2 linked regions of the Macaca mulatta genome follow. The protein of the gene in region 1 purifies or fractionates together with the protein of each later gene. This does not show direct contact. Links are inferred from orthologs where the notes say so. Each region holds a gene or a part of one and is shown on either strand. Other genes may lie near its edges.

What was found.
Region 2: the proteins of XPC (region 1) and CETN3 purify together in Homo sapiens (affinity purification with mass spectrometry; 4 studies listed by BioGRID and IntAct, counting the BioPlex papers as one, with this or other methods). This does not show direct contact. The link is inferred for Macaca mulatta from reciprocal best matches to the Homo sapiens genes XPC and CETN3.

The regions. Positions count from the first base shown.
Region 1 is NC_133407.1:152,976,970-152,986,862, reverse strand, and holds the start of XPC (DNA repair protein complementing XP-C cells), read left to right. Parts: upstream 1-5,211; 5' UTR 5,212-5,244; coding exon 5,245-5,344; intron 5,345-7,179; coding exon of another isoform or gene 7,180-7,182; intron 7,183-9,419; coding exon of another isoform or gene 9,420-9,422; intron 9,423-9,893. Other genes in the region: U6 snRNA-associated Sm-like protein LSm3, read right to left, coding at 2,257-2,367, 4,935-4,955. UniProt on the Homo sapiens protein: Involved in global genome nucleotide excision repair (GG-NER) by acting as damage sensing and DNA-binding factor component of the XPC complex. Has only a low DNA repair activity by itself which is stimulated by RAD23B and RAD23A.
Region 2 is NC_133411.1:96,786,078-96,795,196, reverse strand, and holds the start of CETN3 (centrin-3), read left to right. Parts: upstream 1-161; 5' UTR 162-280; coding exon 281-297; intron 298-2,123; coding exon 2,124-2,259; intron 2,260-4,166; coding exon 4,167-4,281; intron 4,282-9,119. UniProt on the Homo sapiens protein: Plays a fundamental role in microtubule-organizing center structure and function. As a component of the TREX-2 complex, involved in the export of mRNAs to the cytoplasm through the nuclear pores.

The sequences.
Region 1 (9,893 bases):
AAATTTAATAATCAAATTATGAAAATGATCAAGGCTTAACAATATGCAAATTGCTCAATTACAACTAAGGCATTTGATACTTACATCACAAACTTTTACATGCAAATAAAAAGTAATCCTACTGTACTAATACACTGTTTCTTTACAAGTCATTTCAAATGATTACTTAATTGACCTGATAAAAATATAAAACTGCTCATATGGCCAAAAATAAATTTACTCAAAATCACTTGAAATTATTTTTAAAGTCTCCACCCCACTTGTTATCTAAGGCAGTCACATCATTTATAATATTTAATTATGAAAAACAGCAGATACATCTTCATCATTTATCAGTAGACATCCTTCAAATTCACCTATAACAATGTGACAAGAAAAATACAGTAAAGAAGATAAAATCCTTTGTTTACTGGTAACATGATGGCATTGCAGTCTTCTAAAGGCACACGGTAGACTACATGTTGCAGAGAGAAAGTAAGTAGAGCAACACCCTGCCCATTTCTAACCTATCCAAAACTTAAATGCACCTGTGGGCTCAATCAATAAATGTTGCAGCTAAGATATTCAATCCAAGCTCCAAAGTTCATTCATTTTACTAAAAGGTGCACTTTAAAGCTGGGACTTTGTTCAGAACTCAAGTTTACTTCTAACAACGTGTTACATGGTTCACCTGCTCACATCAAAATAAAAGTCACTTGTCAGCCACGTGGGGAACTGCTTTAAGCAGGGCACGCTAACAAGAGCAAAAATGTATAACTGAGGGGCACAAAACAAACAGAAAGTTGGGGCCATTTAGGATACAGACCATCAAGTTTACACAGGGAACTGAAGAAGCCTCCAAGGGCCACAGACTTAAGTAATTAAGCTCAATTCCATTTGTATTCCCGAAGTTACCACTATTCCTTTCCTGGAGTCTCTCTTCCTTTAAGGCCAACTGTAGATTGTCTCCCTGGGTCCCTATTTCCTTTCCAAGCCCAGAGGTTCTTTATCGTTAGGTTTTGTGGAAGGTGGAACCACAGTACTTAAGAGTGGGGCTCAGGTCAGACAATCTAGATTCAAATTCTAGCTCTCTCTTTACTGGCAAGTGACTGTACCTTTCTGAGCCTGAGCTTCCTACAGTGCAAAGCAGGAATAATTAGTATGTATCATCACAGGGTTGTTATAAAGATTAAATCAGATATCACACACAAAATGCTTAGAATAATAGTAGCTGGTCTATAACTAATGCTCAATAAATGTTAGCTATTTTTAATCACTTTAGGGTAAAGTAGCAACACTAAAAACAACACACTTAGGAAAGCAACAAGTCATTAAGGAGAGGCAAAACCTTGAGGGTACTCTATGAACAAATGGGATTACTTCAAGGGACCAATTCTACAGATATTTTGCAGATATGCACAAATAAATATGTAAAAAAAAATGCTTACTGCAAGTATTTATGTAAGTATTTGTAGCAAGAAATGAAAAAAAAATCGATCACTATCATATACAGAATCCTAGGTAGTCATTAAAAAGAACAAATGAGAATTAAATGCACTAATGATCAATAATCTCGAAGAAAGATTAAGTGAAAAAAAAAAAGGTGCTGAAAAACGTGTATAGCAGGATCCATGTTTTGTAGAGGTAGGGTGTACATAGTGCAAGTATGTGCATATGTACATATATGAATGTATGTGTGTAAACATACAGAAACAGTAACCCAATTTTTAATTTTTTAATTTTTATTTTTTGTAGAGACAGGATCTCTCTATGTTGCCTAGGCGGGCAACACAGAGAACTCCTGGCCTCAAGTGATCCTCCTGCCCCAGCCTCCCAAAGTGCTGAGATTACAGGGATGAGCCACTGCACCCGGCCAAGATAATCCAATTTTTAATAGTGGTTACCAGTAGAGGAAATGGGATTTCACTTTTTACTCTATATATTTTTGTGCTGTTTAACTTTTCATAATAAAACACATATTTGTGTTTTAAGTTTAAAAAACATTTAAGAATGGAGGACAAATAAATGTTATTTACAAATAAACAGAAGGGAAAATGAAGGGAATAAAAATGTTCTATAATAAACATATTTCTATTAAAAGAAAAAATATTAAAAATGTGAATACATGCAGCTTCATCTGGCTTATGGAAACATGGGTGATTTTCCACTACCCTCTCTTCCTTCAAAATACCTTTTCACTCTGGACAGGTTTTACATTTCAAGGGAGTGGGGGTGGGAAGGAATCTGATTTCAAGGTAACTTGATAAATTTACTCACATGTAATCTGCCTCGAAGCTCTCGGTCATTTCTCATCTTCACATAAATTCGCTCATCTAGGCTGAGCCTGATAAGATCCAGGGGCTCCTCTACAGTGTTGGTAGTTTGTTGCTGATAACAGAAACAGGTTTAGTAATATAGTACTAGAGATAAAGTAGTGCTTAAATCACTGCTATGCTGTATGACCATGTGCAAGTTATTTAACCTTTTTCTGCCTCAGTCTCCTAATCTGTAAAATGGAGATAATAGTGTCTACCTAATACTGTTTTTATGAGGCTTAAGTGACATATATGAAGGCTTAGAACAGAACTTTTCACATAGTATGTGCTATATAAATGTAGATTAAAACACGCATACATAAGAAGGAGTTACACAGCAAAATAATCATGACTATACTTTGTTCCCTCAAAATCCAAACTGCCTGACCCGATTTCAGGGTATAGGGTCTTAGGAACTTTAGCTTTATCTCAAATATTATGTAATCATAGGAAAAACACTCACTTAATGCCTACCATATACTAGTCAGAATGCCAAGTAGAGGTGTAGGTTTATGGGAAGATTATGAATTCAGCACAGGTTGAGGTTAGGCTGCCAACTGGCCAGTAAGATGAATATTTAGTAGCCAGAATAGAACACTGGTTCAAAGCACTGGCTTAGCCGGGCATGGTGGCATGTGCCTGTAGTCCCAGCTACTCCGAGGCTGAGGTGGGAGGATTGCCTGAGCCTGGGAGGTGGAGGTTGCAGTGAGCCAAGATGGTGCCAACAAGCAAGCAAGCACTGACTTTGGAGTCAGGCAGTCTGGGTTCAACTCCTGGCTGTGACCTGACACTTATGAACTGAGATTAAAAATCATGCCATCTGTAATTCTCAGATTCTTCATTTGTAATTGAGAAAGCCACAACCTTCCTTCTGGATTCTTATGAGGATGAAACTAGTTAATGCATTTAAAACAGTGCCAGGAAAGCAGAAAATATTAATACTTAGAAACGGTTCCTTTTGGCTGGGCGTGGTGGCTCAGGCCTGAATTCCAGCACTTTGGGAGGCTGAGAAAGGCAGATCACCTGAGGTTAGGAGTTTGAGACCAGCCTGGCCAACATGGTGAACCCCGTCTCTACTAAAAATACAAAAATTAGCCAGGCGTGCTGGCACGTGCCTGTAGTCCCAGCTACTTGGGAGGCTGAGACAGGAGAATCGCTTGAACCAGGAGGCAGAGGTTGCAGTGAACTGAGATCACGCCACTGCACTCCAGCCTGGGCGATAGAGTGAGACTCCATCCAAAAAAAAAAAAAGAAAAGAAAAGATTCCTACTAATATTATATTATTAAAGAACTGCTGGAAACACTGGTTTTAGAGGTCAGGGCTAGGATGACTTGGGGTCACCCACATGGAAGGGAGGGTTGCAGCCATTAAAGAGTTAGATGATTCAAGGAGAGCTTCTTTAGTAAGTACACAAGGCCAGTGGAGGAAGGTAACTGAATTCGTAACAGGCGCTAAAGATTCAAAAGGCCCGATGAGAGAAAAAAAAATAACCTAACTCAACTGGTCCCTATGTCCCTCAGTTCAACAGGTGTTTGTTAAAGGATCAGATAACCAACTGTTAGATTACAATGATACAGAAGTCACAATCTCCACCCTCAAGGAGCTCATTCTAATGTGGATAGGCATATGAATAATTATAATACTGTAAGAATATGCACATGACAGAGCTCTACTGCTACCTAAGCCTCTGTCTGGGATGCCCACTTTCTGTTCTTTTTCATCCTGTAGCTTTATACATTGGCTTTTAAAAGAGGCCTCCTCTGATCATCTAACTCATTCACTCAAATATTTGTTGAGTATTTCCAGCACTGTTCTAAACCCCAAGGACAAAAGAATGAACAAAACAAAATGCCTACTGTTATGGCACTTACATTCTAGTCAGGAGAGATACACATTAAACAAAGATGCATACATTTAATATGAAAAAATAACGTTCTATGAAGAAAAATGAGGCAGGGTAAGCAGAGTAGGGGGAGTGCTATTTGGGCAGAAGTCCTCTCTGAGGAGGTGAGATTTCAGTAGAAAGTTTAAGTTGTAGCATGATCTCCAAAGATATTTGAGGAAGAAAAAGACCAGGTGAAAAAGCTTCTAGGACCATCTGTTATTCTGCATACCAGTTCCTTGTTTCCTTCATAGCACATCACAGTTCCTATAAATCTTACATATTTATATTTATCTGTTCTCCTCGCGAATATAAGCTCCAAGTCATGGCAAGGATCACTTATATATCGATGTCAGTGTCCCTGGCTCTTAGAACAGTGTCTAACCATACAAAGCTGATGTTCACTCTCTCTGCTGAATGAGTAAATAATTGTTGTGCTCAGTAATAACAACTCCTAACTTTATTATCTGGCTTTCTATTGGAATCCTGACAGCTCCGTGAGGTAGGCACGCATAATAATTTACAGATTTAAAAAAACAAAGCGAAGAGTGTGATGAATAGTCATCAGGTGGCCTTCTAACGGAAAAGACCTCAGGGCCTGCAGCAAAATTCGGACAGGGGTGTTTACGGAAAGGATGGGGCGGATTAGGCCGTGTGACTTGGAAAGAAGAGGCGCGACTGGCCATTTTTCCTGCGTTTGGAAAAAGCAGTTTAGTACAAGAAGCGGCGCCGAGCCACCGCCTTAAAATTCACTCACCTGGTCTACGTCGTCCGCCATGTTTCAAACCCTGCGCCCTTTCCCGCCTCTCGCGAGAACACAAGAGCAACGCCGAGCTCCGGAAACGTGATGCTACAATACACCGGAAATAGAAACCTGCTGTGCTCTTGCCTGCTTCCCGCGGTTTTTTAGTGGCCACGGGTATGGGGCGGAGCTTCCTTTGGGGGCGTGACTAGGCCTCCAACGAAGGGGCGTGGCCAGACGCGCCCGCCTCGGGGCGGGGCCTGCGTTCTAACGCATCGCGGCCTGGTGCGTCACTCGCGAAGTGGATTTTTCCCCGACAAGCAATATGGCTCGGAAGCGCGCGGCCGGCGGGGAGCCGCGGGGACGCGAAACGCGCAGCCAGAAGTCCAAGGCCAAGAGCAAGACCCGGCGTGAGGAGGAGGAGGGTGAGAGCGTGGCCCAGCGGGCTTCGCGGGAGACTCTGCCGGTGGGCGGAGGAGGCCCAGAGGCAGGGGCGGCGGGAGTCCAGACGCGGAGGCCGGGAGGAGGTTGCTGCGCGCGTTCCGCGCAGTGGGGGCAGCACGGCAGGCCGCGGCCGGCCCTCCCCGCTGTCCCTGCGCCTTTGTCCTCTGCACCCAGAGCGGCTTCCCGTGAGCCTCGCCCGACCCAAGCTCCTGCGTAGCTTCTTTCCCGCTCCCCGTTGTCCAGAGGATACAGCGCAGATGTTCAGGGTTGAACGCGGAGAAGGCAGTTATTTGTGTCCCAGGAAAACGGACGGACGGACCAGGACGTAGAGTGATGCAGTGTGCTGACTCCCGAATGATAACTTCAGCTGAGTCTCGCCCAGAGTTCCACAGTGGGATCCCACCTGACTTCCCCTCGTGGATATTGGATAGGCTTCTTACATTTGTCGTGGACAGTGCAGAGCTCATGGTCTTCCCCTTCAAATCTATGCTTTCCTCCGTTTTTCCAGTCCCAATACTTGTTATAAAACAAAGTCCACCTTTTTCTTATGTGCACACATCCAGTCCCGTCAGCAAGTCCAGTCAGTTCAGCCTCAGACTGTATTTCAAATTTGTCCACTTCTCTTCATTTCCATGGCCACAACCCCTGTCCAAGTCACCATCACCTTTCAGTTGAGTGACTGCAGTTTCCTCTTGACTGGCCTCCCAGCTCTGCATCCAGCAACGCAAATAATCTTTAAAAAAAAAAAAAAAAATCATGCCATGCTCCTGCTTTAAACTCTCCTTGGTTTTCCATTGCTCTTAGTTTAAAATCCAGTTGTCTTATCCTGGCCTGCAAGATGCTACGTGTTTTGGCTCTTGCTACCTCTCCTGTTTCTCCTACCACTTGTTTCCTTGCCAGATACCCTCCTCATTGGCCTCCTTTCTCTTCCTCAAATATGCCAAGTTATTTCTTGAGCCTTTTCCTTTGATATTCCTTCGGCCTAGAGTGACCCCCCACCATGGCTTTTGCCAGGTATGATTTCTTCAAATCTCAAGTCAGACATTCCTTGAGCAAACTAAGGTAGTCCTTCCCAGATACCCCGTGGATACTAAAACCTGTGATGCTCAAGTACCTTGTATCAAATGGCCTAGTGTTTCCATGTAACCTATGCGCATACTCCGACATACTTTAAATCATCTCTAGATCACTTGTAATATCTAATACAATGTAGATGCTATGGAAATAGTTGTCATACTATAGTTTTAAAATTTGTGGGTTTTATTTTTCCCGAAATATATTCATCTGTGGTTGGTTGAATCTGTGGATGCGGGGCCCGTCGATTGGTAGGGCTAAGTGCTAAATAAATATTTTTTATTTTTTATTTTTTTCGAGATGGAGTCTCACTCTGTCGCTGAGGCTGGAGTGCAATGGCATGACCTCTGCCTCCCAGGTTCAAGCGATTCTCCTGCCTCAGCCTCCTGAGTAGCTGGTATTACAGGTGACTGCCACCATGCCCGGCTAATTTTTGTATTTTAGGAGAGATGGGGTTTCGCCATGTTGGCCAGTCTGGTCTCTAACTCCTGACCTCAGGTGATCCATTCGCCTCGGCCTGCCAAAGTGCTGGGATTATAGGCATGAGCCACTGTGCCTGGCCAATAAATATTTTAAATAATTGCAAAATGCAGGCTGTAGAAGGAATTTCTGGGTCTCCTGAAATAACTGGGTAGATTAGGTAACCAGCAAAGGCTATCACACTCGATTCTGTGTTTCTATACCGATTATAAGTTCATCATCCATTAGAAAATAGTCAAATGGTAATAATTCCTAAACTTAGAAGGTGATTTACCTCATATGTAGTATTTCGGGTTCCATTTTATTCATTTACTCGTTCATTCAAAAAACATATTTTGAGTACTATGTGCTGCACATGAATGAGGTGACATGGGAGATAAGCGTATCTTGGAGGATCATAGAGTAGTGTTGACATGACATTTGCATGTAAGACATGCAAGGCAGAGTGTGCTAAATACTGTGGAAGAAGGTACAAGGCTTTGTAGCTTCCAAAGGATTAATCAAGTTTGACTAGCATGATCGGGGAACGCTTTCTGAAGTTGTTTGATCTGTGATTTAAAGGATGGTTGCTATTTTAGCAAGGGGTCACAAAAAAGGGGCTGGTATTCTAGTCAGAATGTAATTTGCATATATGGCAATTAAAAATTGTTGTAATCTGATGGAAATGCTACCTGCATTCCTCCCAGCTCAACACTTCACCTGGGTTCCAGCTTGGTAGAGCTTCAATTCTTAGTTATATGCACTTGGGTGAATTATTTTGGACAAGTATTTTAGCCCTTCTAAACTTCTTCTATGAACTATAATAACTGCCTTGCAGGGTGGCTGTAAGTTTTCAGTGGGATAGCATATAAAGCCAAGAGCTTTAGCTTTACCCATGTTAGGTAATTAGTTGGGCTAGCTGGTGTCATTCAGCCTAAATGGAGGTAAGGATGCACCCAAGTTTACTCTGCTAGCCAGAGGAGGTAGCAGTCAGTTCCCAAGGCAGCTTCCAATCTGCAGAGTTACAACTTTTGTTGTGGTTTGGTGGTTTGTTGGGGAAGCATAGACTTAGCAAGTGTGGTTTGGGCTGCAGGTGACAATAATTTGGTGACTGTCAGTGTAGTTTCTAACACTGTAATAGTGTAGGTTTTAACAGCACCCCTGTACATGCAAATGAAGGTGATACTTGGCTGCTTTCGACAAATAGGAAAAAAGAAAACAGGCTTCCACATGATTTCCTTTGTGTTACTAAAGCACCTCTGGTTTCTTTGCATTTCTTCTCTATGTTAACACCTTCGGTGATAATCCGTTAACTCCTTCAACAGCTGTTTATTGAGCGCCTACTATTTTCAGGCACTGTTCCAGGTACTAGGATAATAGTGGTGAACAAGACAGGTGAGGCACCTGCTCTCATGATTATAATCTGTGGGGAGGGGTAAGTAGAACAGATAACAAGTTAAAAAAAAAACAGATTCACATAATGGTAAGAGCTATCACCCTGTGTTAAGACTGCTGTGATAAAACTTACTTGGGTACATAGCAGAAAATGCTTCTATAGATGGGGGAAAAAAAAACCCTCAAATTTAAATGGGGCTGGGAAGGGGCAGCTAAATGGGAATCAGTGTCAGGGAAGGCCTTTGTAAGGAGATGGCATTTTGAGGCAGTTAGTGTAATTTTGAGCCATTCATAGGAAGTTCTGGGGAAAAGAGTTCTAGGCAGAGAGGACAGTGTTTAAACACTCTTAGGAGGGAATGAACTTGGCCAGTTGGCTGGACACAGTGAGTGAGGGGCTGGGTAGGAGAAGTGGGCAGGGGCCTGAGCTTGGATACCAAGCTAAGGAGTTGGAATTTTATTCTGAGTGCTGTGAGTTGCTGCTAGAAGGTTTACTCTGGTGTTCTTATTACATCCCAGTAGATGGGCAAGCAGACCACAGTGGTAATTCCTGCCCTACTGAAAGAACGCTGAGCTCGAGGAGGCTGGTTAGGCATATTAGATCACTCAAGATTTTGGAGAGTCCTGGAAAAGAGTCTCTAGGTGCTTAGGGACCAAAGAATAGCAAAGAATAGAAAGTCACCCATATTTCTGCCATCCAGAAATAGCCACCATGAAATAATGGTCTGTTTCCTTCTAGTCTGTTTTTTACATAGCAGAAAGCATGCTGTAAAATCAACTTTGCATGATTAACATTACATCATCTATCGTTTTTCTTTATCTTAAAGGATGACTCAATTATATTTTGTTGTGTGGCTCTGCCCTAAGTTACTTAACAATTATCTCGTGGTTGTATGTTCAGATTATTGTTAGATGCTTTTGAATACTATGAACATCCTTTTGATTCAGAGTTTTGTGTTTCCTTTTTCCCCCCTTTCCTTTTTAACTCCTCTACCTTTCTCTTCAAACACAGAAATAAAAGCTATGCTTTTTAACCAACCAGAAAAGTTTGTGATGCCTCTGAAGTATCCTCCTACCTGCATTTTTTTTAGATTAGTAGAAAGTGAAGTATTTTGCATCTTTGCCTATTAGAGGGCTAAATACCATTGTAAGATCCAGAAATCTTAATTTTAGGGCACCCTCCTCAAACTGTCAAATCTTAAGCTTTATGCAGCCTCTGGCCTTGGAATCGGCAGTTTGTTCTCAGATTTGAAAAAATTAATTTTGAAATACTTTGCACTTCAAAATTTTTCCTTATTTTTTGGTTTCCACTAAAATGTTTAAAAATGGGAATACATAAATTCCTTTTTCATAAAACATTTAAAGAAACAACGGAATCAGTGATTTATCTAGCATTAAAAGAAATGCTCCTTTGATATGAATTTTATTAACATTTAATAATGATTTCATCTAGATCAGAGGGAGAGTCTTTTTTCCCTCATGCAAAAATTTATATTCTTGTGGAATATAAATACCTATCCAGAGAGTCAGCAAGGCAAACAATGAAAAGACTGAATTATTAAATAATTTTATATTTTAGGTTAACGTTGCAATCCCTTATGGAAC
Region 2 (9,119 bases), on another chromosome or scaffold:
GGTGGGTGGCGGGGGGGGGGGGGCGGGGAGAGAGAGGTTTTTTTTTTTTCTTGATTGACGTAAAGCGTACCCAATTAAAATAAAACTGGTAAAGCTTCCGCCATAATGGGCAGAACCATAGCGACATTTCAACCAATCCAGCTCAAAAGTGTCTATGTTGTGGGAGGTCCCTGAGGCCGCTGAGGTCGTTCGTGTCTGTTGAACGGTTGTGGGAGTCTTGCTGCTTTGGGTAGGGGGTTAAAATCGTTTCTTGAGAGGAACGACTCTGTCCGAAGAGATAATGAGTTTAGCTCTGAGGTCGGTAATAAGGAGGCGGCAGTGCTCTCCACACCCCGGAGCGGGACCTAGGGAGGGTGTGTGTGGAAGGGAGGCCGTTTGGGGCCGTGGCGAGGCAGGGGATGCTGTTTGGGATGCGGGAAAGGAGCCTAGGGCAGCCTGTCTGGATCACTCACCCTCTGGGCTCTGGTGCCCTGCAGGGAACGAGACTTCCAGTGCATTTCTACTAAGGAGGTTATTTCTGTCAGCGCGTAGGGCTTTCGACTACCAAAAAAATGGGCTTAGTTGCGAGCGAGGGGGAGGGAATGAAATATCGCGAGGCTTCTACTCTGTTGCTCTGAGAGATCAGGCCGCGGAACATCCCTTCATTCAATTCGTATGCCTGGCCAGGGCCCCACCTCCGCTGCTCTGCTGCTGATGCAATCATCCACCTATAAATTTTGGAAATAACAAAAAACTCTTTGCTATTCTCCCAAGGTCCTGCTTTACGGTGTAATTAGAAACCCATTTTAGTGACTAATTGGCAAACTGTCTCTTGGATTTCCTGTTTCTTTCATTTCTTTACCTTTCAGTTCTAACCTCTAACCCTCTGTCTGTTACCCGCTCCCCCTACGTAGACGTTGTACCGTAAAACTATACATATACTTAGGACACTCTAAAAATGTTCCATGTTCTGCTAAGGGATAATCATGGTACCCTTGGATGGGGTCAGGGGTGGGTCGGTTCTGGACTTGGCCTCTAAAAGTCTCAGGAAGGAAAAGACTGACCCCAGGAATACCCAAGTTTGTGTCAAGTCAGGTCTCATGAAAGGAAGATCTTCCTCAGCTTTGTCATACTGCATCTACTGGTCACTTCCTAGCCTTTTTTTTTTTTTTTTTTTTTGTAGCGTTCAGAGACCAAAACGACTTTCAAATGCAGCTAGATACGTGTTTTAAATACAGTCAACTGGTTTTGACATGTTAATGTGTTACCAGATTGTGTGTTTCAAAACTTGTTCTTATACCAGTGTTGCGGCTCCATTGGAAAACTTGGAGCACATTTAGATGGGCAGCTCTTACGGAAAACATTTCTGGCTTTAAAGTAATTTTTGCTTTTTTCTTTAAGCGTTTCCAGAGTTTATGAGAAGTTTAACCTCCAGTTTACATCTTAAGTGAGACAAGACTTATGAAGCACAAATATTGTATACTTTTTTGACATCTAATATTTGTCATATGTTTAGACTCATTAATATTTTGGGTGATTTGTTAATATCAGTGGAGGAAATGACACATAAATTGCCAAACTGTTAGAAACGTGTAATCTAAAAACATTTTGAACCAACAGTCCCAAAATATAAGTTAATCCAGTTGTATTTTTTGTAGTAATTTTATGAACTTAATTATCAGAACTATCAAAAGTAAACCGATATATGGTGATTGTCAGTTACGAATTTTGGTTTCATTTGGAGATTTTTTGGTTTCTTTAACATTCTTGTAGAATAATGTGAGTGTTTTTGTTTTTTTTTGGTTGGAGTTGGTTGGAGTTTCAGACATAAAAGTAATGTTGCTTATTCACAGTTCTTGAATAAATAAAAAGTTAGGGAAAGTGGGAATAAATAAAAAGCTGGGAAAAGGAAAAGTTTGGTCCTCATTTCTTTTAATAATCTGTAACACTCTTTAGTTTTGGGAAGTTCATATTTATAGCAATTTAGACTATGGAATAAACAGGGCATTGACTCATAAAGGGAAAGTTTCCCTGTCTTTCTCCAAAGTACTTTCTTTTTTGAAATTTAGAAAATAATTATTGGCTAATTTCTGTTAGTAAAGAGAATTAAAGTGGACTAAGGGCTTTTTCTTTCCATTTCATAGAAGTGAGCTTGTAGTAGACAAAACAAAGAGGAAAAAAAGAAGAGAACTGTCTGAGGAACAGAAACAAGAAATTAAAGATGCTTTTGAACTATTTGATACAGACAAAGATGAAGCAATAGATTATCATGAATTAAAGGTAATGGTATACTTTAAAATACTTGTTTCTGTGTTAAAATGATTTGCATTTTGACAGTTGCTTTACATTACATTTCTAAGTAATTATTTTAACTAAATTGGTTTTGGAACTATGAAGGCATTTTAAGCATTCATAGTTAGATTCTATAATAATACTGAATAGAACTCCTAACACAGTTTTTAGAAAATCTTTTTCACGTGATAAAACGAATAGCATTTTAAATGTAACAATACATTCCTAGGGAAGGTGCTTATTTTTCACTGACATAATTAAAGGATTTCAAACTGGAATTTAAACTATTACCATATTCTTTTCACTGTTTTTTTTGTTTTTGTTTTTGTTTCTTGGTGACTCATACTGTTTTCAGATTGTGGGATTGTTGTCTTTTAATCTTATAATTTGTATTTGTTAGTAACATAGTCTCAATCCACTTTCTGTGGTACAAACAACTTCAGTGCTGTTTGATGTTGACACATGCTTGTAGGTAAAAATGTCAACTTTAAGACCTAGAATGTCAAGGTGTAGAGAGGGATTTGTAAATTATTATTTGTCAGGGTATAAGGAGAGATTTGGGTTTAGGGTAGAATGGGACTTACTTTCAGCACAGTGGGAAAGATAGTATTTTGAGATTTTTAATAGCCTTAATGGATAGGTGAATGTAAGTGTTTATTTGATAGTTTTAATTTTTGTAATTTCTTAAGGGATTTTTAAGCATTAGAATTCCAAGTAGGGATACGAACTATGCAGTAACAGTATAGAATGTATAAAAACAATTAATAGGCCTGTAAGTCTAGCTTTCTCAATCTTGCAGTCCTCTTTAGCTCTCTTTTCCCACTGTTTTTTGTTTTTGTTTTTTGGTTTTGGTTACCCAGATTTGATCAATTCTTCCTTTATAGTGTCTCTTCCATTAGTAACCATTGACTGGTTTCAGACCTTATTTCATACCTGGAGCTTCCTAAATGGTTTGTCTACTTGTAGTTCACCTTGTATACTACTACCACTGAATTTAGATAGTTTAAAAAATCTTTCACCATTGCTTATAAATTGTTCGTTGCTCATAAGCCTTTACTATTAATAACTCCTCATTATATACTACTTAAAGTTCAGATTCCTTTGCTTTCTACTGAATGTTCTCTACACTTTTGCCACCAACTACTTTTTTCATTTGCTAACTGCTTTCTTCCTCCCAAACTCTTCTAATTCACGTGGAATTCACCTTCTAATCCAGGTGAGCAGTTTATCTCACCTGAACTCTTCTAATTCAGGTGAGGTAAACTGCTCTGTTCGTTGTCCTTCAAACCTATTGTTCATTTCAGTGTTTCTTTTAATACTAGTCATCCTTCCCAAATGCCCTACTGCTCCTCTTCATCTGTCCTTCAAGGAACAACTTGAATCTTTCCAAATAAGACTTATCTAGTCAGTAACATGTTTCCTTCCTTGTTACTAGTAACAAAGTCTCTTTTTTGTCTAAACTCAGGGTCCTTCGCCCTATTATTAACCTAATAACTAATCATGGAGATACTGATGATAATTCTTATTTTAATGTTTTATCTCTTCTATCATATAACTTTAATATTTATGCTATGCCTTTTTCTCATTTTGGTTGTTAATCCCGTGATAACAAATAGCAGTCAAATTATCTGTGCAGTAAGTTAGTGCATTTTATATAGTAAACACTTGTTGGTTACTTTGTCATATAAAAATGCAATTTATAAATGAAAAAACTTATACATAATTTCAGTAGTGAAGAACAATTACACTGTCACTGCTATTTTAAAGAGGTAAAACATGCAAAAAAGTTATATTTTACTAATGTGTTTTTATCTCTTAAGATGTAAAAACTTAATAATTAGAAATTCTTTTGTAAAGATTGCTTTATAATTTGCTTTTCCCTTTTAATCCAAAAGGTGGCAATGAGAGCCTTGGGGTTTGATGTAAAAAAAGCTGATGTACTGAAGATTCTTAAAGATTATGACAGAGAAGCCACAGGGAAAATCACCTTTGAAGATTTTAATGAAGTTGGTGTGTATTTTAATAGTCTTTGTAATCAGCAGCTGTTAGGAAATTGTCTGATTAATATGACTTTTTAAATTTTAAATTCTCTAGGTTATGGAATTTTCTTATAGAACACTGGTGTATAATGTGACTCTTACTCAGTTTTGTTTGGGTTATTTTACTTTTTTCATTTTCAAAGAAAAAATATGGCTTTGCTCTGAGATTTATAGTTTTGTCTTTTGTTTTGTTGTGAAGATTCTAGCCAAGGAACTACTGTGTAGCTTTTTATGGAAAGATGCTTTTCCAAGTTATTTGTATTTATATTATGTGATAAAACTTGAAGGGTGATCAAAAAATTATTTTTGCTCAGTAAAACAGAAAATTTGATATCCTGCTGTTTGGAAAATGTTTCCCAAGACCTTTCTGGTATGTGATTTTTGCTGGCTAAGTGGGAGAAGAGGGAACTGGTAGTAGTTGGTATCTTTGGCCGTAGATGAAATGCGTGACTTCAGGTTGACAAAGTTTATGAGAGGCTACATCCTCTGGATGACCTTGATCTTAGTGGATAAAGTCATCTGTTTAGAGGGTAGTAGTAAAGGAGGCAGTGGGCATACTGCAAGCAGGAGAAAACATCCTGGTACCACCAACTGAAGATAATATGTCATAGGCTTAATATGGCTAAATTTTTGTGTAGTTGATTTTAGTGAATTATTTATAGCATACATAGAGCAGGCTTTTTCAAAATAGAAGAGTCTGGAAGGCAAGGGCGTTACTATTGTCTAGGATATTACCTACAAAATATATAAATATTCAGGTTTATTTCTATTTTTTTCCCCCTAAACCAATGGGTCACGATATAAGCACATCATATAAGTATTTTAAGATATTTGGAAACAAATTCTGTTATATACACAAACCCCTTCTTTTAAATATTCATCAAGAAGCAATATGGGAAGCAAAAAGAAATGGCAATTAGTATACGCAGAGAAAATTTAGATTCATGTCATTAGTTTTTTGAATCCAAACGCTCAAGTCAAAAGCAGTTGAGATGGAAAATAAATGATAAACCTAAGAGAAAAAATACAGCACAGAAGATACTCAACTTACGAACTAATATATGACTGTTTAGAGAGGCAACTTGTCTGTTGGGGACATTTTCCTTTTTTCCTCTAATTTGTAGAATTTTTTATTTGAGGAGAAGGAGAGAGCCACCTTTTGTTCTCCCAGAATGGACACTCTCCTGAAGTTTATAATCGTAGTATTCCTAGTTTTACCTTAGATTGTTTATTTGTAGAAACAAGATGTTAGGATACAGTGGAAATGATACTATTAGGAAGGAGCTATAATCCAGGTATGTTTAGTACAGTATAGTGGTTTAGCACTTGGAACCAGATTCTGTTGGTTCATACCTTGGTTTTGCCACTTTATAGCTCTGGAACTTGGTCTTTTTAATACCCTGTGCCTCATTTTCAACTATAAGGTGGGGATCATTGTACTCTCTCATGAGATTCTTCTGAGGATTAAGTTAATAACATGTAAAGTACCTAGAAAAGGGCCTAGCATGTTGTAAGTGCTACTAAGCATTTGTTATTATTATTACTTTAAAAAATTGTCTCTGTTTCAGGGGCTCAAAATAATCATATATGCATCACTGGGACATAAAATAGACTCTGTGTATACTTTTTATTGACTTTTTTTCATAAAGGCTATTGTAAACACTATATCATCACTAATAATTTTACAAAATATTTTATTTCATCTTAAATGAATACAATTTTGAAATTGTGATTTTTTATTGGCAGTTGGGACCAGAATCCCATGCCACCTCCACTTTTTCCTGATGCCCTATCTGTTCTATGTTATTAACAGAGCAGAAATACTGGGTTCCTTTAGAATAAATAGATGTGGCTAAACTTCAGCTTTGACACTCAAAGATTAACCTTTTGACAGGGTCAACACCTATCTTAGCTATCTTAAGGCTACCTATGGAGAGTACCAGGTGTAAAATAAAAATTTATTACTGTTTGGGAATCAGTCAAGAACTATGTATTTCCCCTTTTGTTGATTATTTTTAACTAATCACTGACCACAGATTAATATGTTTTGTACTTTGGGACAAATGATTCTAAATCTTAACATTTGAGTCCTAGTTTTATGAACTACTCAAGGATACTGTTCCACAGATATATCTGGATGAAGTTTGGCAGTTAACTATTATAGATTCTTCCTAGTACTGGAAAAAAGCTTTAAAATATATTTAATGTAAGTTTAGAGTCAAGACAACCTGAGGCTAGTGAGTAACATAGATGTTTTAGGAATTCTGTCTTTAACACCAACATAAGTCAAACGTTTGTACACTATTTTTGACATATACTACTTATTGCTGATTCAGATTATAATAGTGTATTATTGTCTTCATTTTGCTTATTTAACACTGAATTTTTTGGTATTAGGTACTGTACTGGGGTTGGGAAGAAGACGTAATTAAAAGTTACTAAGAGGTTCTTCTTTCAGGGAGTTTACAGTGTACATATAGGTGACAACAGGCTATAGTACTATGTGGTAAATTGTAATTTTGTCTAGGACAGAAGTCAGCAATTATAGCCTTTGGACCAAATTCAGCTGCTGCTTGTACACCACCACACCCATTCTTTTATGCAGCTTTTGTGCTGCTATGGCAGAGTGAGTAGAGACTTTATGCCCCTCTACAAAGCCTAAAGTATTTACTGTCTGGCCTTTTACAGGAAAGATTTGTTAATCCCTGATATAGAGGAATTGAAGACTTTGCAGAGGAGATTTTAAATTTAGGCCTTTGGAAACGTGAGGAGGATTTCATTCCAAGATTGCCAGGAAGAGTAGAGAAAAAGCATTCTAGGCTTAGAAAGCAGCAACAACAAAGAATGGTACTAGAAGCATAGCATGTTTGGGAAACTAGATAGTGTTCTGGGCTAGACGATAGGGAAATAGCTGGAAGTGTAGGATTGGGCCAGACTGGTAAAGTCTTGCGAAACTTAAAAGATTTTGAATTTTAGTTAGCAGAGGATCATTCACAATTTTTAAGGGAAGAGGATATGATATATTTGAGAAAGAAAACTGATGAGAGTATTATTGATGATGCATTGGAAGGAAGAGAGACTGCAGACAGAAAATACTATTTTTTATGCTGAGGATGGCGAGCGTGAAAAGAAAATACATTTAAGAATAAAAAAGAGGCTAGGCTTGGTGGCTCATGCCTGTAATCCCAGCACTTTGGGAGGTCAGGGCGGGAGGATTGCTTGCTCACAGGAGTTTGAGACCAGCCGGGGCAACAAAGTGAGATCCTGTCTCTACAAAAAAAAAAAAAAAAAATTAGCCAGATGTGATGGCACATGCCTGTAGTCCCAGCTGCTTTGGAGGCTGAGGTGGAAAAATTGCTTGAGCCCAGGAGTTGAGGCTGCAGTAAGCTGGGATCATGCCATTGCACTCCAGCCTGGGCAACAGAGCGAGACCTTGTTTCAAAACAATAAAAATAAAAAAAATAGTATTCTCAGTACTATAGGACCTGATTAAGTTTATGGGACTGAAAATGATTTATACTTTTCACATACGGAATCTGGCTGTAAATGTTGCTGTTGTCTTTTGGTGGGGGTAGAGGAGGCAGCTACAGTTACTGTGGTGGTAGTGGAATGAGTTTGGAGTCCAACATGTCTCACTGGTGTGTTTGGATAGAAATTTCCAAAAGACATTGAGAAATACAGTTAAAGCTGTATTTCTAGCATTACCTACAATGATTTTTAATTTACTTTTGATGTGATGTTTTTGGATTTGCTGTATTCTTAAGTGATTTTTACACATGAAAGGTCTAAGAAAGTGTTTTGAAGAAGTACATTTCTGATAGTATGTGTAATTAAATCATTTGAAAATACAGTTACATGGACAGAAATTTGGAGTTTTGTGAAATAAATGAAACCCACCTTAACTGCCTCTATATCAGTTTACTAATATTTTCATTGAAAATAAATATATTTCTTGTAATTAAATTCTACTTTGTGGAACAAGAATAGAACATGAAGGCATGGAGGAGAATCATTATAAAGTTATATATTAGGTAATGTTTTTGCTGTCCAAAATGATGAGCATTTATAATTCCCAAGAAAAGCTGCATTTTAAGGAAGAATATTGATAAAAGAATATATAGACACATAGCTCTGAAATAACTAACACAATTAAAGTACCAGTGGGATAAGAATTTATACATCTTGGAGCCCCATCTGTTCCCCAATCACCCTGTTGCTTCTTTAAGTACATTAATACTTTCAGCAAGCTGCTTTTTTGGTTCACCTGTCATGTAAATTATTTAATTGGTGAAGAAAATTTCTTAACACTTTTTTTCCTTGTCCTGCTTTTTTGTTGGGACTAAATTCAAAATAAGTTGAGTATGTGCCATAGAGTTAAGTGTGGTATTTTATTTTGGTGTTATGGCTGTAGATATGCCAGCTCCTTTTTGACTGAATATTTATGAGCTTTGATGATTTGCATACTTACAGTAATATACTTCAATTAGTTACTTGGCAGCCTTTTTGGATAAAATTAATGGATAAAAGGAAACTATTGAAAATATGTGTAGATGATATAATAGTCATTTGAATAGGTGATTATTGAACCTAATATAGGTGAAACAGCTACAAAACAATAACTTGTTGGAGATTTTGATTGTATTTTTTTCATTCTGGGTTCTTTAAACATTCCAGTATTTTCCATCTATAAGCAGTTTTTTGTTTTTTTTTTTTTAATGATTCTGTAACCTTTAACAGGACCGAGTTATTTTTAATAGCATAGTAAAGGCCATAAATACCTTTTCTTGTAGTGGCAGGTAGTGTATATAA